Linked DNA regions of Astyanax mexicanus. The protein of the gene in region 2 purifies or fractionates together with the protein of the main gene of each other region. This does not show direct contact. Links are inferred from orthologs where the notes say so. Each region holds a gene or a part of one and is shown on either strand. Other genes may lie near its edges.

The links.
Region 1: the proteins of ptpn18 (region 2) and pstpip2 purify together in Homo sapiens (affinity purification with mass spectrometry; 4 studies listed by BioGRID and IntAct, with this or other methods). This does not show direct contact. The link is inferred for Astyanax mexicanus from reciprocal best matches to the Homo sapiens genes PTPN18 and PSTPIP2.

The regions. Positions count from the first base shown.
Region 1 is NC_064427.1:20,970,210-20,982,743, reverse strand, and holds the start of pstpip2 (proline-serine-threonine phosphatase-interacting protein 2), read left to right. Parts: upstream 1-6,803; 5' UTR 6,804-6,885; coding exon 6,886-6,918; intron 6,919-8,385; exon of another isoform or gene 8,386-8,427; intron 8,428-11,117; coding exon 11,118-11,218; intron 11,219-12,534. Other genes in the region: sub1a (SUB1 regulator of transcription a), read left to right, coding at 1,336-1,404, 1,489-1,611, 2,618-2,726, 4,559-4,638. UniProt on the Homo sapiens protein: Binds to F-actin. May be involved in regulation of the actin cytoskeleton.
Region 2 is NC_064419.1:3,030,112-3,042,047, reverse strand, and holds the start of ptpn18 (tyrosine-protein phosphatase non-receptor type 18), read right to left. Parts: upstream 5,206-11,936; 5' UTR 5,024-5,205; coding exon 4,931-5,023; intron 1-4,930. Other genes in the region: mon1ba (vacuolar fusion protein MON1 homolog B), read left to right, coding at 7,538-7,895, 9,955-10,747. UniProt on the Homo sapiens protein: Differentially dephosphorylate autophosphorylated tyrosine kinases which are known to be overexpressed in tumor tissues.

The DNA.
Region 1 (12,534 bases), on a different chromosome or scaffold from region 2:
TAAAGTCAGTGAGAGTGTCTACATGTAATTAACTCTATATAACTATAGAATTTCTAAACCCAAATAAACATAAAGTCAGTAAAAAGTCAGTGAGAGTATCTACCTGTAATTAACTCTATATAACATTATAATACTAAACCTAAATACACATAAAGTCAGTGGAAAGTCAGTGAGCGCTTCTACATGTAATTAACTCTATATAACATTAGATTATTTAAACTCAAATAAACATAAAGTAATTGGGAAGTCAGTAAGAGTGTCTACTTTTAATTAACTCTATGTAACATTAGAATCTATTAACCCAAATAAACATAAAGTCAGTGGAAAGTCAGTGAGAGTATCTAATGTAATTAACCCTAAATAACATTAGAATTTCTAAAGCCAAATAAGCACAAAGTCATTTTAAAGTCAGTGAGAGTGTCCACCTGTAACTATCTCTATATAACATTAGAATTAATAAATTCAAATAAACATAAAGTTTTTAAAGTCAGTGAGAGTGTCTACATGTAATTAACTCTATATAATATTAGAATTTCTAAACCCAAATAAACATAAAGTCAGTAAAATCAGTGAGAGTGTCTACCTGTAATTAGCTCTAAATGACATTATAATACTAAACCTAAATACACATAAAGTCAGTGGAAAGTCAGTGAGAGTGTCTATGTGTAATTAATTCTATATAACATTAGATTATTTAAACTCAAATAAACATAAAGTAATTGGGAAGTCAGTAAGAGTGTCTACTTTTAATTAACTCTATGTAACATTAGAATCTATTAACCCAAATAAACATAAAGTCAGTGGAAAGTCAGTGAGAGTATCTAATGTAATGTCTATGTGTAATTAATTCTATATAACATTACAGTACACAACTCAAATAAACATAAAGTCAGTGGTCAGTGAGAGTGTCTACCTGTGATAAACATCTATATAACATTAGAAAAAAGCTAAAGCCAAATAAACATCATTATAGTCATTGTAAAGTCAGTGAGAGTTTCTACCTGTAACTATCTCTATATAACATTAGAATTAATAAACTCAAATAAACATAAAGTCATTCTAAAGTCAGTGGGAGTGTCTACATGTAATTAACTCTATATAACAGTATATAACTATAATAACTCTTATATAACTACATTTCAAACAGTGCATTGGTATATGGTAAAGTCTTTCGGTTGGTAAAGTTTTAGAGAGAATCTGATGCACACCTTTGTTTCACAAACCAATCAGTGTGAAGGATAAAGAGACTCCGCCCCTACGTAGGTGATGATGAGAGGATGTAGCAGGTTGACAGTGTTTTACAGTGATGTTTATATTATCTTGTCTCTCCAGAAAATGCCTAAATCAAAGGAAGTGCTGTCCTCCTCCTCCAACAGCGACTCGGACAGTGAAGCCGATACGAAGGTACGTCGCTGATGATCTGTAGCATCAGTGGATCAATAATCTGATCACTTCTGATTGGTTGTTTGTTCGTTTTATCGGTTTCAGGCTAAGAGGAAGAGGCAGGCGACGCCGGAGAAATCCTCCAAGAAGCAGAAGAGTGGAGAGTCCTCCAAAACCTCCGGCTCCTCCAAAAGCAGCGGCGGCAGCAAAAACGACAACATGTTCCAGGTCAGGAGTCTTCATTACTGCATTACATTACTGTTATATTGTAATTGTAATTACTAGAGCTGTCAAACAATTAAATGATTACTTATTTAATTGTTTATTTTAATTGTTTTATTTGTTTAAATTTGACTAATAGAGTATAGATATTTTCTGATTCGATTCAGGCAAAATTAAACAAAATTAAACTAGATACACAGTGTCAGTCAAAAGTTTGGACACATCTTCTTATTAAATTTTTTTTATTGTTCTTCCTACATAGTAAATGAATAGTAAAGTCATCCATACTACTATCTGGGGAGCTGTTAATTTGCTGGTAACTCTAATGAACTTATCCTGTACAACAGAGGTACTTCCTGCTCTTACTTTCCAGGGGCGGTCTTGATGAGTGCCAGTTTCATCCTTATAACGTTTTTGATGGTCTCTGCGACTGTACTTAAGAACACTTTTAAAGTTCTTAAAATGTTTAGAACATTACTTAAATAGAGCTATTCACTGTATACTAACTGTGCCTCTTCACAACTTTACAACTGATGCATAAAGCTGACTGAGAAAATGCAGAGATGTAAAGAATGTAAAATATAAAACATATTCTGGTTTATTTAACACTTTTTTGCTTTAATAAAAAAATGTATATGTTTTTCTTTATAGTTTGGATGACTTTAGTATTAATTTGCAATGCAAAAAATTAAAAGTAAATTAAGCAGTGCCCAAATGTTTAACTGGTACTGTATAATCATAGGTGATGACAGAGACCCCCCATATATTTAAATAATTAAATTTAAACAGAAAATAAATAAATAAATAAAACAAAAAATATATTAAGAATAAAAAAAAAAACAGAATAAAACAATACAGAGTTTATAGTCCCTAATTTTTACACAGTTTCTCTGCTTCTTTTAATGAAGTTCGAATCAGAAATAATGAATATTCCTTAGTTATTATTATCATCATCATCATTAACAGCTAAAATATAAAACTGGTCCTGTCACACTTGTCTATTTTCTCTAAGATAGGGAAGATGAGATACGTGAGTGTCCGAGACTTCAAAGGGAAGGTGCTGATTGATATCCGTGAGTACTGGATGGATCAGGAAGGAGAAATGAAGCCGGGGAGGAAAGGTATCTGACCTGTTACTCTTTACTAACCACCTGTCGAGGATGTTTCTTTTATTTGGAAAGGAGAATTAAGTATTTTGCTTAAAATAGCCTAAAGTGGTCTAGCGGTCTAAAGCGCTGCCATTATGATCGGGAGATCGCCGGTTTGAATCCCAGTCATGCAACTTGCCATAAGCTGCTGGATCCTTGAGAGAGCACAATTGTTCTTGCTCTCTCTCTTGGTGGGCATAGTAGATGGAGCTCTTTCTCCTCATCACTCCTAGGGTGATGTGGATCAGCACAAAGCACAAGCGTCTGTGAGCTGATGTATCAGAACTGAGTCGCTGCGCTTTCCTCAGAGCATTAGCGCTGTGATGATGCTACTCGGTAATGCTGAAATAAGCAGCAGTTTAAAAAGAGGCGGAGTCTGACTTCACATGTGTTCACCCTCCTGGTGTTGTGGCATCACTATTAATGGGTAGATACAGCTGAATAGCAGCTGAATGGTGGGAAAATTGACCTAGCTAAATTGGAGGACAATTTGAAAGTATAAATAACCTAGAAAAGTAGAAATAATTAATAAAAAAAGCCTAAAAAACTTAACTGTATGTAAGTATTTATGTGTAAGTTTTTCTTCAGTAAGGCCAATTTATTCTTCATCACTAAGTTAACTTGCTGCCTAAGGTGTAGCCTGTGTGAGCGCCCTACGTAGCTGTCTGCTTCCTCAGTTTAAACCACGAAGACTAGAATGTGTGGGCTGTTCAGATGTATAAATTGGCCTTTAAGCACTAAAGACACTGTACTACTGCTACTGTGAGCTGATTGGCTGGTTGGTGAGCTGATGCTGGAGTTACAATCAGAGCACGGATTTTAAAAGCTTTATTACTAGGAGTTTTAAAGCTTTAAGAATTTTAGAAACCTTTTATTTTGTTCTGTGTTGAGGGATGAGTACAATATTTTAGTTTAAAATTATTAAACATTTATAAACTGTAAAAATGTTGCTCCATTGTGCCATATGAACCCATTTATTTTTAGACTTACCCAAGAGCGACCTCTGGTGGTCAAACAGGTCTGTAAGAGACCCTGAAGTGAGTCTTATCCTGTTGTCCAAAAGCATTTAAAAAATAAGGGTACCACTTTAAAATAAGACTACCTTTATAGGGTTTATAAATGGTTTAGAATTAGTTTATTAATATTTACTAATTAGGTTGCAAATGCCTTAAAAATCCTTAATAATCAGTTATAACACATATACGTAGAAAGGGCAACAATGACCTGTTGTTTGCCAAAAAGTGAACCCACAGCCATCTTCAATGTTGCCCTTTCTACGTATGTGTTATAACTGATTAATAATGATTTTTAAGGTATTTACAACCTAATTAGTAACCATTAATAAATTAATTGTAAACCATTTATACACCCTTTATAAAGGTAGTCTTATTTTAAAGTGGTACCAAAATAAATGCATTAAAAAAAACATTAAAAATGCTAAACATTTAATGCTCATCAGATTTTGTACTCGTCTTTTATATTGGGGAATTTTGTGCAGTTTTGATATTTAATTTTATTTGATCTTTTATACATGTAGTTTTCATGTTCCTTCATTTCCTAAAAATGCTCTTAAATTCACTTTGCATGCATATGTTTGTTTAAATTCTGTAATAATTATAAGAAAATATGGGTCCTGGACTAAGACCAGTTTAAAAACCCTGTATTAGAGTTTCTCTAGAGTTTCCCAACAAATGCAGGATAAACTCTTTTTAATACCCTTTGATTTCAGAAGTACTAGTGATCGAGCAGCTGTCCCAGTATTATAGTAATTTGTTGGATCTGTCTGTGTGTCTGTCTGTTCTCAGGTATTTCCCTGAACCCAGAGCAGTGGAATCAGCTGAAGGAGCAGATTGATGATATCGATGAAGCCGTGAGGAGAACATAAACACTCCGGGAGCCGACGCCGCTGTCTGATCTATTCATTCCCGCTCCGCGCTTTACCCACGTTTTATATAAAACAGATTAATAATAATCCATGGAGAGTTCTAGAACTGATCTGTACCTGTGTTTTAGATTAGGCCGATCGCTGTGTTGAGTTTACTGTTCCTTTTCTTTTCTACTGACCGCGGTCCTCATAACTCCGTAATGATTTTGTGGATGAGTGTGTTTGTGGGGGGTGGGGGTGGGGGGAATAGCCTGTGTTCACTTTTTACAATAAAGTTGATGGAAAGTTAAAAATAATCACCAGTGCTTCAGTGTTTGTGTACTTACTGAATTAGAGTAAGGGAAAGTTTTGGGTGTGTCCCAAATCAATCTTTGTTCCCTTCACACTTTCTTCAGGTAGTTTTTTTAAATTATACTATTTTAAGAAACTACTAATAATTCCATTTCCTTACTATGTTCCTCACAGTGGAAACTGACAGGTTAAATCTCTGAGACAGCTTTTTGTATCCTTCCCCTGAACAACTATGTTGAACAATCTTTGTTTTTAGATCATTTGAGAGTTGTTTTGATGAGCCCATGATGCCACTCTTCAGAGGAGATTCAAATAGGAGAACAACTTGCAATTGGTCACCTTAAATACCTTTTCTCATGATTGGATACACCTGGCTATGAAGTTAAAAACTCAATGAGGTTACCAAACCAATTTTGTGCTTCAGTAAGTCAGTAAAAAGTAGTTAGGAGTATTCAAACCAATAAAATGATAAGGGTGCCCATACTTTTGCACCGGTCAAATTTTGGTTTAATGCATATTGCACATTTTCTGTTAGTACAATAAACTTCATTTTAATCCTGAAATATTACTGTGTCCATCAGTTATTAGATATATCAAACTGAAATGGCTGTTGCAAACACCCAAATTTTTACAACTAAAAATGATTAAGATTAATAGGGGTGCCCAAACTTTTTCATATGACTGTAAACATAATACCATCTCTTGCAGTGTGACAAAAAGCAAATCAATAATTTTGAGTATATGTATGTATAAATGCTCATTGGTATTTAAATTGTGGGGAACTGACACCAGTAAATCCATAATTCCTGCTATTTACTTACTTAGAAGTATCTTGTTTCTCAGTGGCATAGTCACTGTGAAGGGTGGGGAATAGTTTTGTGATATATTTATTATCGCTGAATCGCAGTTTTGAGATATCGCTGTTATCATTAATTTACCACAGCTGAAAGGTGCTGGAAAAACTTAAAATGGGCCTTGAAAATGCTTAAATTTTACATTGTAAAGGGTGTATGAACCATGAATATTGTATTTTGCTATACAAAAGAATCCATTTGATCAGGGTCCCGGAAAAAAAAAAAAAACATTGCTTAGGGCCCCAGAACTTCCAAATCCGCCCCTGCCCACAGTAAATGTGTGCAGCAATCAAAGCTTAAAGGCACTCCAACCAAATACTAGACCAGGGGTGTCCAAACTTTTTTTTGGGGGGCCAGAGGGGGCCGCTTTTAGACTCTTTGGCCCGTTTTTCTGCGCTAGAAATGCGCACCCTCTCCGCTTTTAGACTCTTTGGCCCGTTTTTCTGCGCTAGAAATGCGCTCCCTCTCCGCTTTTAGACTCTTTGCCCCGTTTTTCTGCGCTAGAAATGTGCACTCTCTCCGCTTTTAGACTCTTTGGCCCATTTCTGACACCTAGCGTTCAAACTTTGAATCTCACATTATAAAAACCTGCTTAACAGCGGGCCAACTTTCATTCTATTTCTAAAATACCTCTCGGGCCGCTCCAAAAAAGGAAACGGGCCGCAAATGGCCCGCGGGCCGTAGTTTCGACACCCCTGTACTAGAGTGTGTGACTTTTTTTTTGGTGACAATTTTTTTTAAGCCAGGCTGTGTGCAAAAAAAAAATATGCCAAATTGAGATCTATCTTTTGGTCTTTCCTCCAAAACAGTTCCAGATTATCATATGGCCACACTTGGGAAAAAATTGCCCCAGACTGAAGTGCACTAGGTAGGGCACTAGGCCTCAGTTTGAGACACACCCTTAGTATGAGCTGCATTGGCAGACTTCAGCCAGCAGGTGGTGGAAAGGTGCAGCAGCGTACAGTCAGAAGTGAGAAACAGCGCCACCTGAGGCCACATTAACTTCTGTATAACGTGTAACAGTAGCAGCAGGAGCAGCAGTAGTCAGTCCAGCAGTCTGCTCCAGCCTCTCACACAGCTCACATCTACCGGCTCCAGCACCATGAGAGACCTTCACTTTAAAGACAACTTCTGGGTAAGAACTTTATCCACCATTTACTCACTATTTACTGCTTACAACCTCTTTATTATTTAATATAATCAACATACAGTGCTGTAAACTAGTTAAACAGGCTGCCTGTATCTTAGAGGAACCTCGGCATATTATTAAAATACTTATATATACTTAATTAGTAATAGATATATCCACTTTATTATAATCTGAGAACTTTTATCTACAGTTTTTTCTGCTTTTCACAGTATAGAGCTGTTTTTCAAGGGAACTTCCTCCCTATACATAACAGCAAAACCTTTTTGTGGTCGCTTTCCTCAAACCAACTGTCATAATCTTATTTCACAAAAGAGGTGGTTGTTTTTTAATGTATATATGAAACCAGTTATTATTTTTTTATTATTTAAAAATGTTCTGCTTTCAAACTATTGAAAAAAACATATGAAATTAATTAGTATACAAATTAAAAAGTGGTAACCAAACCAGAATATGTTGAATATTTTACATTCTTCAAAAAGTAGCACCTCTTGCTTAGATAGAGACAGTTTTGCACATCTCTGCTGGATTTTCTCAGTCAGTTTTATGAGGTAGAGTCAACTGGAATTCAGGCTTTCAGTTAACAGCTGTGCTGAACTCATCAAGAGATAATTCCTTGAATTTCTTGTCTCTTAATAAAGTGTTTGAGAGCATCAGTTGTAAAGTTGTGAAGAGGTGGAGTTACAGGTATACAGTGAATAGCTCTATTTGAGTAATGTTCTAATCCAGATTATGAGAAGCAGAATTAAAGAAATAATTAAAGAATTAAGAAAGAAGTTAGTCAATTTCAAAGCCAAAACGTTTCAAATTTTGTGCAGTTCCAGCAAAGACCATAAAAATACTTATAATGATAATAATAATGGGGACCACCCCAGGAAAGCAAGAGCAAGAGTTCCCTCTGTTGCACAGGATAAATTTATCAGAGTTACCAGCATCAGAAACTAAAACATTGTTTTTACACATATAGAGGAATAATAATAACTTTCACTTTTAAGATCATTGAATTTTGGCGTTTCAATTATTATTCATTTAGCTCTGATCTCAAAAACATCAAGCTATTTACGCCTCTATGTCCAAGAATTCTCTGTCCATCCTGTCATCAGACATTTGTTAGAGGTAAAAAATACAGGAAAGGGTATTTTTATGTAGAACACTGCTATGCAAAATTAACATTTAATTTGTGTAAACTTGACAGATTATTATTGTAATTTAGCAGTGATTTCAATCACTGTAAATTAATTTACATTTTTTTTCAGTAGAGTTATTTACTTATCGTCTGTAATTTTAACAGGAAAACTCTGGTAACCACAGCTGCCAGCGTTTTCCTGTAAAAACTACAGTTTTTTTTTTACAGTGTAGGAATAACCCTGCCCCTTTAAGAAACTAACCTTTGACATCAGTGACATCACAAATAATATTTATACTGTTTTATTCTATTTTCAAAGGACTGAAGACACTTGCTGCTGCTTGTTTAGCAGTAATTGACAATAATTTACAGTAATTTTATGTAATATTTCTCATATTGTCTCCATACTTACAGTAGTTTAAACATGTAAAGTTTAGGCTTAAGTTTAGGTCCTTCATGTCCCAGTAAAATATCATTGTTGGCTAAAAAAAAATCCTTCAAGACGGTTAGCTTAGCTTATTTTAGGACATGCTAGCCTAACTTATTAGTGCCAGTTCCACCGTTAAAATCTATAACAAACAGTGTAATTAACTTTCTAACTAATTAATGTATGTATGTAAGCTATTAATTGTTGGTCAGTAGAACGTTTTCTGAACAATGCAGTTAGCTAACATTCTTAGAATGTTATAGTAAATCTGTCAAGTTTTCTGGATGTTCTTAGATTTTTTATGTGTTTAAATGTTCTGGTAACATCACTTTTAACGTTTTTACTTTTAACGTTTCCTTAAAGTTAGCATTCGACCAGCTGGGATTACTATTATTATGTCAAGCATTTAGAACATTTTTTGGAACATTATCTCTGTATTTTTACAGTTTATTTGTCTTGAAACCTTTTCAAAACGTTTCTAAACAATCTTGTAAGTTGTTCTTGTTCTTTGAATGAATTGACTTCTTGGAGGAACTTCAAATGGATTATTAGTAACGGATAACTTAGCTAGCTAACTAATTAGTGCCAGTTCCACCATTAGAATCTATTAAAAATACCTTAATTAACTAATTAACTGACTGTCTAACTAATAAATGTATCTTGTAATTGAATACTATTCTTAACAGCAAATTATCAGCTGACATGACCTGTGAGAAGATCAGAAATGAATTATCATAACAGGTAGTTTAGATACTACTACTAGTTTAGATACAACTACTAACTAATTAGTTCCAGTTTTACCGTTATAATCTATAATAAAAAGCTTAATTAACTAATGAACTAACTGTCAAACTATTTAATGTATCTTGGAATTAAATACTATTCTTAACAACAAATTAACAGCTCACATGACCTGTGAGAAGATCTGAAATTGATTATTAGTAACTATAATAATATTAAAATTCCTTAAACATTTTTTTATTAAAAGTGCAAGTCAGTGGAGTTAAGTTTGGTCTAAAGCTCAGACAGTCCAGGCTTCATTATGTTGCTTTCTAATGTTTTGGAAAGTGCTATTAGTCTGTCTAAACCTTTATTTTGACACATGGCTAATGCTGGCTGTGGCTGCAGGCCTGTGATTATGTGTCTGGCTGCAGGCATGAATTACAGCGCTGCTAGAAGCTGCTGTGGATAATGATAGCCAAACCTACAGGCTGGAGTAGGAGAACTTGGCTAAACTGTAGTGTTTAGACTGCTGTACAGTGGCTATTTCCACAGCGCTGTAGTAATTTAACACCTAATCTAGCGGGCCGCTGTGTCTGGGAGGATATTGTGAATTATTTACTTAGTAAGGGCCTATTAAAAGCAAAATTCCTTGCTTTGTCTAAACATTAATGAGTGTAATGTTGTTTAAAAAATATGCTCAATTCATATGGATGTATGGATATTTTTTAAACTTTAATGCATATTTTTTATAAGGCAACAAAAACCCAAAAAACAGTGTAATAACTGTATCCACATACTCAGTTTAGCCTCACGTACCTACTCACTAATGCTGTTATATGATGCTTAAGTTGTAAGGAGTGTTTCAGCACATGTTTTGTATATACGTTGTGTGGAGTTATCTTGTGAGTGAGCTGTAAAGGCAACATGAATTATATAAGTAACCACTGGTTAAAATATATTACAAGGAGTTCCTGTAAGGTCAGTCAATCCAAAAACATGTCAAATTTTAACTTAGAAAGTATCTTCAAGTGCAGTTGCCACAAAGATCATGAAAAATGTTATAATGATGAAACTGGCACTCATCAGGACTGCTCCAGGAAAGCAAGAGCAAAAGCAATTAAAGGACCAATGCATAAAATGAATTAAAGGACCAACCACTGGCTGAAATATTACTAGGAGTTCTCGTATGGCTTAACCCAAGGATAAAGTCCCGCCTTTCAACAAAAAGAGCCAATCTGCTTGCTGCTTACTCTGCGACTGGAGATCAGTCTGTATGCTAGTAAGCACCTCCTCAGTGAGGAGATATGCGCAAGTGCAGTAGCCAGAATAAGAAGCCGAATAATCACGTTCTGTGCATTTTATAGCCAAATGCTAGTCTAATGCTACAAACTGTTAATGATGTTATATTAGATTTTATCAGTGATGTAAAATATGTTTTTAAAATTATAATCTTATCTGTGGTTTGGAGTATTTTGATCTCTTCCAATTTTAACATATTGGGAGGCTGGTCTTGGGTTACTCATAGGGCCCTTACTCTTACCCATACAATTTAGCTCCGCCCACTTAACTGAAGTTACAAGGACTGTTTCACAAAGGATAAATGAGTGTTTTTTTAGTTTATAAACCCATAAAAACACCAACACCTAGGACATTTAGGATATTGGCTCTTTAAATCTATGATTTAAAATATTTTTAGTTCGTAAAACACATTAGAAAATGTGTTAAAAGTGGACCTTGTGGTATAAAATACATACAATTGAGAAAAAAATATAGGCTAAGGACCCTTTAATGGTGTGTCAGTATGGCAGTATGTGCTGATGTATTGATTATTAATGATCTGCCGTGTTTGTAAAAGGAGTTTGAGTCCAAAGTTCACTAAAAATATCTTTATTTTCTTCCTTATGTGGACAGAGCAGTGAAATCACCAGCACAGCAGGATACGACGCCATCATCCAGCACCTGAACGATGGGAAAAAGACGTGCAAAGAGATCGAGGACTTCATGAAAGCCAGGTGAGAACCAGCATCATTAATAGTCATCAATCAATAATCATGTAAAAAATGAGCATTTACCACTGCAGTTCCAAAGGTTTACTAAATCAGGGCTAATTATTATGAATTATATTAGTAAATTGTATGCATAAAAATAGACCAGAAAATAGACGTTTATTGATAGTGTACCTTATAATCTGGTTCACCGCATAGTGCGAAAAATTCACTAATCTACAGTTACAGTAGATACATAATTAGGGCTGCACAGTATAGGGAAAAATCTGCGCTGAGCACTCAAAACCTGAGAAAAAGAGCAAAACAACAGTAATCAGCCCTTTAATCAGCCATTTAAATGGCTTTTTAAAAGGTAAAAAAGTGCGTTTTTCTGGGATTAAAAGTGTGAATTCAGCTATAACAGGAAATATCCAGACTACGAATAACTCTAATTAGAAGTTGAAAATGCGATTTTTTTATCTGGGCTGTGGTTTGCAGCACCTTTCACATCTGCTATTTTGGTTTGGACTAAACAAGGTAGATGTGAAACATTTTTGAACCTGGTATGGAGAACATTGAGAACCTTAGTCTTAATTATGTGACTTATTTTAGAGTGAGTTTGGAGGAATTAAAAGTCGAATTTGCGGAGTGTTCCTGTTTAAAACTAATTTTTAACTGTATTATAAACGTGATGACCTTTAAGTTGGCTCAGTTCTGCACCCCAGCACTTTCAGAAAGCGCTTTTAGGGAAATACAGTCATCTCTCGCTCGTCTTTAAAGAGAAAAAAAGCATATTCAAATGGCCAGTCTTAGCACAGGATGTCCTCTTTCTCACCTATAAATTATTTTAGGTATTGTTTCCTCTGGTGTCACAACAAACAGCAAGAGTAGCCAAAATTACGTAGACTATGTAGATAAAACTGCCAAAAATATTCGCTCGAATGCCTTTGCATGCATATGAACTTGAGTGACATCCTATTCTTAACCTTTAGAACCCTGCAGACGTATTTTCCGTCCAAAATCGCACCTTGTGTTCTCAGCTTAATTACTCAGGAATCTCTTCACACTTAAACATAATCCATATATGGTTAGAAAGGGTGGAATTAATCTTTTTAAAAATAGTGATGCAGTGCGGTAAAGTATCTACAAGAAACCCATTGAGAAAAACATTTAAAAAAGTGAGATCTCCGTCCCCCAACCAATATTATTTACCTTTAGTGCTTCAAACATATTTATATGATGTTTCAAACCAAATAATATCAGTAAATAAAGACTCAAAAGTGTCCCACAGAAAAAGTGTGAAACTACCTGCTTTACCCAAACTAAAGCTAGATGTGACACTA
Region 2 (11,936 bases):
GCTATAGTGTTATAGGATGTAAACAGTGTTTTTAATAAGCTTCTTGAGCACTTTTAAAATTATTAATGCCTCGTTTTAAATGTCATTCCTCTCCGGATTCTAGCAAGGAAGTGGGGAGTTACTTAGAGCTGGATAACAGTGGAAAAAGTGATTTATCAGGGTACATTATGCCCCATTTCACCCAGTCTGAAGGGTGTTTTGGACAATTAAAATTTCTGGATCTCAGAACGCTACTTTTTAACATGTTTTAAAACACCATATTTTACACCGGGGTTCTCCTTTAATCAGATTCAGTGCATCAATCTGTTTTCACAGCGTGGCCATAGAGATGCGATGCTAAGCGGTGCTACACTAAAGCCGTAGCATGTAGAGGATTTGCTGGCTCTGTATGTGTCACAATGAAAGCCGCAGTGCTGTTCTTACTTCCTTGCTGCAAAAGGAGAAGAGATCAGCAGCACTCAGTGCAGCGGCGCCGCTTTCAGTTTTAGCCTGGATTGCGAGTTGCTGGCCGTGTGTTACCTCAGAGGTTGTGGAAGCTTGTTTAACGCTCACCGGTGGCGCAGGCACTTCCTGTAGGCAGGCAGAAACTGGGCCAGATGTCGTCTGAACGTGGCTTAAACACAGTATAAAGGGACGGAGCCGTGGGTCTGTTTGAGCTGTGGTGAACATTAACCAGTGCATTCTTTAAACAGTGCGCAGCAGATGCAGCCCTTAATCACCACAAAACCACAATAGATTCAGATTAAAAGCATGAGTGAGGAGACTCACGTGCCTGAAATTAACACCTTCCTTTAGAGTTTAGCAATAACACATGCAAAAATAGTGCATTAGCTCATTTACTTTTACAATAATTTATCATAGCGCTAGATAGGGACGTCACAATCACATTTTATGTGATTTTTAATGGCGCTTTTGTGCGTCTCAGCAGAGGATACTGACCTTCAGCAGCTCATTTAAGGGAACAGCAATGTTGTTTTATTCTTTATTCTGTCAATTTTTGAGTTAAGCGACGAATTTAAAGCTCTTTTGAGCGTTTTGAGCGTTTTTGAAATGGCAAATCTGAGTGCCTGTGACCCAACATTTTTGAATATCGTGAACAATATTATACCCTGAAATATCGTGCCACCCATCATATCACCCACCCCTAGTCATCACATCAGGGTACTACTACTACTTTTCTACTGTTTTTAGCAAAAAAAAAAAAAAATCACACTGTTTTCATTTCCCATCAGTATCATTTATTTTACTTTAATTCTGGATATATGGAGATATATTATTAGTATTATGGACTTCTGTTACAAATCTGATAAAATTATTGTTTTGTATTTTTTTTAATCTCAGTTAGGGGTGTGCCATATTATTTCATATTGTATGCAATAATACAATAGTAAAATTTAATTAATTTTTTTTTTCTTTGAAAAATTTTCTTTAACTTTTTTACTGTTCTGTCATATCGCCAAGAATATCATTATCACGAAAAAAATACTATGAAATATTGTGATATTATTTTAGGGCCATATCGCCCACCCCTTACTCACACCTTTCAGCACAGAGCCAATCAGCTTGCTGTTAATGCTGCAAGAGGGCAGACAGACAGACAGACAGACAGACAGACAGACAGACAGACAGACAGACAGACAGACAGACAGACAGATAGATAGATAGATAGATAGATAGATAGGCAGACAGACAGACAGATAGACAGACAGATAGACAGACAGATAGATGGGCATATAGTCCAAAAAGTCAAGAAAGTCCAAACAACTGACGACAATTTTGTCTGTATAGGAAAAATACATAAATAAATACAACAGTAATGGTAACAAATACAACATTTGCATTTTTAGACAAATTATTTTCATATTTGGACAGCTGTCAGAAAGCTTTAAAGGAAGTCATTCAGGCCAATGAATGGATAACCCTCTCACTCTGATCTGTGTGTGCATGCAAATGTCCCTCTCACGTGAAAAAAGAAGGCCTTTTTTTTTGGCATGACTCAGTGTTAACATATTCAAATGTTCTGAGGTGATGGTTTACTCAGTGCAACACTAAGCAGCACTGCCTTCATTCTCTTCATACAGAGTTTAATACAGTAATGTCTGTCTCAGAGCATCACCCTGAGTTAATAATCGACTGATTCTTTTATGGGCTCAATAAGGAACCAGGACATGAAGCTGTACCCTCATTTACCCCCAGTCAACGCACCGGAGAAGATCTGAAAAAGACTGTAAAAGTCACAGCTAATGTTTTTTTTTTCACTAGACTAAGAGTTTTTTTCACGTCGCAGTTTCCTACTTTTGAACTTTAGTTCAGATAAAGACGTACAGTTAGGTTATAAACCTTAGAAAGCATTCTGCTTTAACTTCAACTTCTGCTTAACTGTTTGGTGGAGCACATTTGAGACTCGGCTAGGGTAGGGCTGCACGATATTGGGAAAGTTAAATCTTAACAGTGCGACGTTTTTGCACGTCTCAGCAGAGACAGATACTGACCTGGGAAAATACGCCAGCAGCTCATTTAAGGGAACAGCAATGTTATTTTATTCTTTATACTGTTTATTGTTAAACAGGGGTCCGGTTTGTGCTCTGCAGTGTGTCCGTGTATGTGTGTGTTCGTGTCAGTGTTTTAATCAGTCAGTGGCGCACCTGTGTTTTCTTCCACTAAAATATACAGAATATTGTGGCCGATTATCCATCCATCCATCCATCCATCCATCCATCCATCCATCCATTTTAAATACTAATGGAGCATCTTACTTCCTCCAGTATCTCCCAGCACTGAACCTTGAGTTTTATTTCTATAGATGATTTTGGTTTTAAATACAATGTCAACAAAGCCGAACAAAATGAAATTGAATCCAGACCAAGAATGGGAACCAAAAAGTGTTACCTGAGTACACAGCACATACAGCAGCTTCCTCACACACAACTTACAGTGTAAGTGCAAGGGGTTTCAAGTTATATCAATCATTGTAAATCAGTGTGAAATAGACTGCACAACAGACTGCACAAAAATTATATTATTGTAAATTTATGAGCATTTAATGCTATATTTAATGTGGACATGAAACACTTCAAGTATTTAATATAATTCACAAGATGTATTTTCACTCTAACAAATAGTATAAGTTTAACAGTTGTCAATGAAGCTGAATTAAAATAAAAAGCAATCTAAATCTCATTTTTTAAGTAAGTGTAGTGCCCTCTTGTCCCAGCGCTGAAAGTGACGTCACGAGGTTGGTTCTCGGACGCCTCACTAACATAAACTATTAGCCTTCGGGAACTTAGCTCACTTCTGTTGTAGTAAAATGTTATAGGTTAAAGAGTGAGAAAGAGATTCACTTTCACTTTCATATCTCGTCTCTTAAGCGGACAGCTGTTTTTCGGCGGTGGCTAACGGCGCCTAGCGGTCCTGAAGCGCAAGAATCCTCCGGTTAGCAGCAATGCTAGGGGTTAGTAGCGACTCCGAGCACTTTCTAGACGAGGACTGTTATGTGGAGGAAAGGGTTTTGAGTCAGAAGTTTGTCATTCGCCAGACAAATAAGCTAAAGTCCGAGGCTTTTTACCTCCATTTTTAATTTTTTTTCCTCTGAACAGCTGGGATGTACAGACCACCTGACTGAGGGTAACCTTACTATAAAGTAGCAGCTGTGAGCCGCAAGAAACGAGCCAAACGACGCGCTCACCCAGCAGAGCAGCGAGAGGTAACTAACGTTAGCTAACTAGCTAACGCTAACTATGCTCCACGTTAGCCTAGTTCAGCTTTGTCTTCATTCATAATCTCCACAAACAACAAGCTCTTTTCCCTAACCCTGACCGCTAGCTACTGTATGTACCTGGACTCTTCAACCAACCAACCAACCAACCAACCTCGTGACGTCACCAGTGCTGCACGGGCAAGATGGCGGAGCCCTAGCGCAAACATAACAAACATAAATATAGTATGATTTAATTTAGTGTGTAAACATTTTATAAAAAAAAAATTACATTCAATAAAATAAATTCCATTTTATTCAATCCCTTAGAAAACTTGTACAAACTGAAATGTTTCATGTCCACTTTACAATAATACTATAAGAGCATAATCATGCAACTGCACAATTTAAGAGTAATAAAAATTTATTAAAACTATTTAAATAGCCTAAATGAATACATGATGCAAATGCAGCAAATAACAATATTAGCTACATTAAAAATGCTTTTTTTCCCCTTCAGTTACAAAAAAAGTAACTAAAACGGTGTAACAGCCCATTTTCCAACTATATATAACAAAAAGACATAATGAAGTAGTGTATAATGAAATTTCTCAATGACGTAACTAAGTATAATCTTTATATAGGTAGATATATTAATATTAATTTAATCCTATGCAGTTCAAATGAACGCATAGTGCTTATGTGTTCAGTAGGTTTCCAGTGTATATATGTTTTTTTTCATTTAAAAATAATGATGAACAAAATGTTTGTGTACATTTTATACACTTTAAAAACAGGATTTTAGGAAAATTGATTTTTTTCATCTTTTTTACAAAAGTATATTGGATTTCACTATCATTTTTTTTACAATATGCAAAAATGAAATTAAATCTGACATTTTTATATAAAATCCTGTTTGAGAAAGGCAGAAGAAAACACTAAAAATTGCTAAATATATGGATGTACAACTTTTTCCTCAACAATTTAAATATTTAAATACCTAAAAATAAGTATTGAACTTTTGCACTCAACTTTTAATTTTAATTTTAATTAAATGTAGCCTCAAACTGATCAATATATATTTGCTATCTGGGAATGAAACATAATAAATGTATGTTTAGTGAAATCTCTCAATAACTTCTCAGTATAATCTCTATATTAGTAGCTAGTTTATTATATGAATTTAATCCCAGTTTCCAGCTGCAGGTTTAGCGGGTGTACTCAGGTGGTACTCACGGTGTACTCAGCAGTGATCTCATTGTCCCCATCGCAGCCGCTCTCAGACAGGAACCTGACCCGCTGGATGAACTTCAGCAGGTGATCTTCCATCGCTCCGCAGGTCGATATTCCGCTTTAAATCCTCTTCATCGGGTTAAACCCGAGTCCAGAGCCGTGCTGAGCGGACCCGGGTCCGGGTCATGATCTCCAGCTCAGACCGAAGCACCTGATCCACCGCGAGCAGAACTGATCCCTCTCTCACGCTCTCATTAAACCCGGTCTGCGCTCCAACACGCGCACTTCTGCACTAACTAGTGCACTACAGCTGCGCGAATCAGCGCGAGTCAAGGTTGCCAGGTCCATCAAAAATATACATTTTGCGTAAATGCTCTCCAGAATGAGAAGACAGCACGAAACAAAACATTTTACCATAAATCTTTCGATTTTCTGATTTTTAGAACAAATAGTTTTTTTTATCAATTAAAATAGTGATTAAATTTTTTTATCCATCTTTCATGGTTATTTTTTTATTTTTTTAATATATAAAATGAAATTTTTTTGCATATTGATTTGTTACGATGGCATAATCCAATTTACTTTTTAAGAAGAATGAAAAGACAATATATATATATATATATATATATATATATATATATATATATATTACCATACACCACTCAACTTTCTTATGTTCAGAACGAATAGTTTATTTTATCATTTAAAAAAATGTTGCCTTTTGTAAACAGAATTTCAGGAAAATTTTATTTCATTAATATATATTAATTTTCAGATTTTTTTCATTTTTGCATATTGTATTTTGCATATTGATTTGCTATGATTGTAAAATCCAATTTGCTTTTTTAACAAGATGCAATAATGAAGAAATATGAAAATTAAGAGAGGATTAATTTAAGCAGAGTTTTTTTTTTTTTTTTTTTTTTTAGAGATTTTTATGGGATTCAGCATGCCCAGGTTGCCAGGTTCAGCAAAAATGAACAAAACATTTATTTTTCCCAAAAACCTTTTTATTTTTAATGTAACATATGCCTGATGGTATAGTCTAATTTTTTTTTTTTTAACAAAATGCAAAAAATTGAAAATCAAGAAAAGTTTAATTTTTCCCTGAGATTCTGTTTGCAAAAGTAAATAAATTTAAAAAATGATACCAAAACTAGTTCTTCATCATTTTAAATTGGAAAGATATATATAATGGGATTTTACATCCAATATTTCGTATTTTGCATTCAAGGATTTAGAAAATAATATGTATAGCAATGATAAATGTTATTTATCATCTTATCTATGTCTTATATCAGTTTTTATTATGCATGTATTAAACCGGACCATTCTTTAGGCTCTCAGCTATTGGGGTTTAGGTGGGGTATAAAGCCCCCCAGTATTGAGCTGGGAATATTAGGGAGGGACTTTTATTGTGAACAGTCAAGAAGTTCTTCATTCACTGCTGTTCTGAGCACATTCTTTCTACTCACAATAAACACACTGTGGACGAGTCTCCTGACTGCCTGCACCATATCATCATCATCAGCATGAGTACAATTTTTTTTAGATTATCTTTCTTGCTTTCTGAGCTATTATGATTATTTAATAACCTGTAATAACTTTAAAAGTAAAGTTACTACAAATTAAATATTATACCTAAGCATTATAACTGTTAATGTGTCTATTGGAAACATTTTTACTGTTATTGCTGTCCCAGGTGGTTGCTAGGGTGTTGCTGTATGCATGCTCTTTTGTAGCTAAACTAATTCTCAGTGGTTGCTTTGTCGGTTGCTATAGTATTTCAGGTGGTTACTGAGGTTGCAGTGTTGCAGAATGGCTGCTAAGGTGGTAACTAATATGTTTTAACAATATGTCAGGTGGTTGATAAGGTGTTGCAGAATGGGGGATCAGGTGGTTGCTAATATGCTGTGTTATTATGTCAGGTGGTTCCTAATGCATTGCTGAATGGGTGTTCTGGTGCCGCTAGGTTTTAGTTAGTGGTTTTCAGGGTGGTTGCAACAGTGTTCCAGGTGGTTGATAAGGGGCTACTGTAGTATGTCAGTAATGCATTGTTGAATGGGTGTTCTGTTGCCGCTAGGGTCTTAAATAGCAGTTTTTAGGGTGGTTGCTTAGGTGTCTATGGTGTTTTTTCCAGCGTCAGTTTATTCGGTGTCATAAAAAAGAACAATATTGTATAACATCATATCTAAATATAGTGTATATTTGTCCTGATTTAACACTAAAGTTTCTGACAGTAAAATATATATAAACATAATAAAAGTATAATAATAACATCATGGGAGAAACTTGATTATAATATACTGTATTAAGATAACCCAGATAAAAAGGGCTAGTTTCTAAACTTCAAAAGAGCCTTTGATGAAACCTTGATGATGACATACCACTATAGATCTTATTATCTCCAGCAGCACTCTGAGCACTGTGGACGTTATTCACGGTCTATAAAACACATCTGACCCCTCCTGGAATCCCTGATTAACCTGTAGCGCTCCTCACAGGGATCCATTGTCCGTCACCAATGGAAGAAGTGTTCCTTAGGAAGAGGGACATCATTTCCACAGTAGAAAAAAGCAGAAGTTTGGAGGGAAGTGAGAATCGGACAGCATGTTGAAGAGAGACAGTGCGGGAACTGATGGGGGTCTACCTGAAAACACCTCTCTGGAGGAATCTAGTGATTTTACAGTGCTTTTATCTGGAACGGAACTGAAGCAGAGCGAGAGTTCCTCAAGTCTCGGGAGCGACTGCTCCTCAGCTTCCCAAATCCAGACCAGTCAGAATGAGGAGGTGATGACGGACGGCTGGAGGAGCCGCAGGAAGCATGTGTTTGTGCTGAGCGAAGCAGGGAAGCCCATCTACTCTCGCCATGGCAGCGAGGAGGCCCTGTCTTCAGTGATGGGGGTCATGATGGCGCTGGTGTCTTTTGTCCAGGTTGGAGGAAACACCATTCAGTCCATTTACTCAGGTGAGATGTTATTAAAGGGGTTATTAACTTTTTATGTTTTATATATACCACAAATCATAAAAAAGTTTGAGGATGCATGGAAAATACAAAAAAAAATGTATGTACTAGTACTGTGTATTATTGGCGATACAATTTAATATATTACGATATTTTGCACCTTTTTTAAGGTGTCCTTCAGCTAAAATCCACTCTAAAATCCACTTTTTCTGGTTCTTTGTGAAATACATTAGGTCTCTCTGAGTTGTATATGATGCTGCACATGAAAAGAAAATACTCTGAAAATATGTTAATTAGTATTCATGGCCACACCCACCTTGGCTCGGGACCGCCCACAGACAGAGCTGAAGCCAGGCAGAGGCACTGCCTCGTCAGATAGGAGCTAACAGCGCTAAGAACAGCAGTTCGGCAGTTTGTTGCTGGGTTATTTGTGCGAATAACACATCAGTGTTTATATGCTTTACCCAGTAATGCAGAGCTAAGGAACAAATGGTTAGAATTTGTCTATGGAGGAAAAAACACCACCAGCCAAGTACAATTGAAATAGGTAGGTGTGTATGTTTAGAATAACAAAACCCGCCAGCCACTCCGCTAATGTAGCATCGTAGCTAAGGCACATACAATGCTTTTCCACCAATGCAAAACCAAAAGACACTGGAGAATACAATATTGAATAAAAGAAGAAGCTGGTATTATGAACTGTAGACCACTGGTGGTCATTCAAAGCAATAATGTGGCACATTTACACAATATGTTCCTATTACCCTATGAGCTATGAGGCTAATGTAGATATAGAGTGATGCAAGCCTTGTGTAGAAACCACATAAACAAATCTCATTAAGATGATTACTCAAGTCACCCTAATGTTTAACTAAAGGCACACAATTGAACACCACATCTGGCCTTGTGGTGAGTGATTTAAACCCGCCTTATCTGGAGTGACATTGTATACAACGTGTCAACACCTAGTAGTGATACACGAGAATAGGATATCAGTAGGATAATGTTCACCCACACACAGCTACATTTTCCCAGGAAGGTCTCTGTCAAATTGCTTCATTTCCCTATCCTACAATATCTCCAGATTTATATGAACAAATATTGGACACCTACTTATTCACTGTTTCTTCTAAATTCATAGGTATTAAAAAGAGTTTGTTAGAATCTTGTTCTTTACTGTAAGCTTAGATTTCCAATAGTTTCCCCAGCACTAAGGCTGGGTGCAGCAGCATTAGCATTAGCATTAGCCGCTAACCACAGTGCTAGCGGGACATGAATGCCACCCGACCGTGCTAAGCTGAGGAACCCTAAGTGTTCAGGTAACCCAGGGTGCTATCAACTAGTGGTTTGTCCCACGTAGCTTGTTTTAACATGGTAAACATGCAGACTACAGTCCAATATACTCACCTCTGGACGGTGAAAGATCTAGCACTGCTGCGGTTAGCGGCTAATGCTAATGCAGGGTGCTCTCAGCCTTAGTGCTGGAGAAACTTCACTGAAAATTTACCCAAGTAACGCTGTACTTCAGTAGAGTGGCTTTACTGCGCCTTAATTAAAACCTGACTGGTAGAATTTATAAATAAGGCACATTGATGATTTTGGAGAAAATGTAAAGACTTAAAGGACTTTAAGGTGCGTGTTATAGTCTGAAAAATATGGGACTTAACTATGAATGTTATCAGGCAAAATTCAGAAAAAAATGATCCTAAATTTTCCTCAAGTGCAGTCCTAAAGACAGTCATCAAATACTTTGTGATGAAACTGGCTCTCATCAGGACCGCTCCAAGAAAGGAAGACCAAAAGTTACCTCTGTTGCACAGAATAAGTTCATTTATAAGTTCAAGAGTTACCAGCCAAGGAAAAGAAAAACAATAAAAAACTCGTCTTGTACTGACAACAATGTCATATTGTGATGGTAAAAACTGTTCATAAATATAAAATATATTTAAATATTCAAATTATTATTTCTAAATACATTATTTAATGCTCATAAATTGATTATAAAGCCTCTATTCAGGCACCTGAATAAAGTGTTACTAGATTTTGTATCACTCTCTTTCAGATGGGCACACGATTGTCTTTATGCAGAAAGGACCTCTGGTTCTGGTTTCCGCATCAAAGAGTCGACAGTCTGAGCTGCAGCTTCGCTCTGAGCTCCTGCATGTTTACCATCAGATCGTCAGCATGCTCACCCAGGCCAGCATCAATCGCATTTTCCAGCGCAGGAAGAACTACGACCTCCGCCGGCTGCTGTTCGGCTCGGAGAAGGTTATAGATGGTCTCCTGGATGTAATGGAGTCTGAGGCTGGTTTCCTGCTCTCGGCTGTGCAGTGCCTGCCTTTGGCTTCGTCTTCCAGAGACGTTCTCAACCAGGTCCTGCAGAAAGCAGTCACTCCTAATCTTGTCCTGTCTCTCCTGGTCACTAAGGGTCAGCTCCTCTCCATTGTCCAGGAGAAAATGGTCATAGAAGACGCCAGGCTGAAGCCGAGTGATCTGCACCTGCTTCTGAACCTCATTCGAGCTTCCACGTCCTTCCAGACGGGTGAAATTTGGACCCCGGTCTGCCTTCCTCGTTTTAATCCAGACTGCTACTTCTACACTTACGTCGCCTACCTGGACCCTCCAGAGTGTAGCGTCTGCCTCGTGCTTCTGTCCACCGATAAGGAGGCTTTCTACGCCGTGGCGGAGTGCAAGCGGAAGATCGAAGAGGGGGTTAGAAACAACAATGTTCTGCAGTCTATCTCCAAAGCTCAACCATGTCAGGTTCGCCATGTTGGCGTGGCTGAGCTGAGACACTTCCTGTACATGCCCTTTGACGTTCCAGATCACTATGGCCAGCTGCCGCAATTCACCAGGTGAACAAGTGAGATATATGTGAGTTTCGGTCTATAAGTGACGCTGAGATGTTTAAAAACTCCAGCAGCACTGCTGTGGCTGATCCACTTGTACCAGCACATTAGAAAGAAGGATAATAATAAAGAATGTAGAGAAACAGATACAGGACTACAGTCTGTAATCAAAAATCATTCACCTTAACTGAGGCAGGTGAGACCTGCAGTTCTTTACCCTCCTGGACCTCCTGGATGAGTTATCCCTGCCCTTTTGGAGTCATTTCAGTAGGCCGGTCACTGCTAGGAAGGTCCTAGTCCTAGTCCTAGTCTAGATTAACAATTAGACTTTAATATCACACAGAGATTACCTGAGAAAAAGACCATTGTACTGAAAGTCAAACATGGTGGTGGTAATATGAAAGTCTGGGACCTGGACAACTTACATTAATTTATGCAACCATAAATTCTGCTCTGTATTAGAGCTGCAACTAATGATTATTTTGATAGTTGACTAATATGAAAATAATTTTTCCGGCTAGTCAATTAGTCAACAATTATTTATGACATGTTCTCCATCTCTAAAAACATCAGAAAAACAGCTAGACATGAGATTTAAAAGGCATTTAAATGTCCAGAAGGAGAATGTTCATTAGTTTCTGACCTTAAGCTCAGGCATACTTGGGTTCAGCAGCAGGACAATGACCCAAAGCACACTAGCAAATTATTAGGTTTAGGGGGCAAATACTTTTACACATAGGGCCAGATTGGTTTAAATAGATTTTTCCCTTAATAAATAAATGGAATTATAATTTAAAAACTGTCTCTATATTTGCTTAGGTTGTCTTTGTCTCATATTACAATGTGTTTGATAGTCTGAAAAATATGAGAATGATTGAGTTTTTTCATTTGTTAGCAGATGATGTATTTAAGCAACTGTAAATATTTAGTGACTCCTGTGACTGAGTGTTTCATTTGCTGCAAATTGTAGCTGCTGTCTGAAGTGCTCGGGTGCCTTTCATGCAAATGCAATCAAATAAGGTCACCCTGCAAAAAACTCCAGTGCAGGACCAGCTGGTTATTCATGAACAACCAACGTATGCTGGTTGGCTAGCTCGTTATCTATCTCATCTCATCATATGGTATGTTATATAACTATTTTAGTGATTTTTATTTGCTTTTCAGATTTTTAAAAAACAGGGGTAGGGTTCAAAAC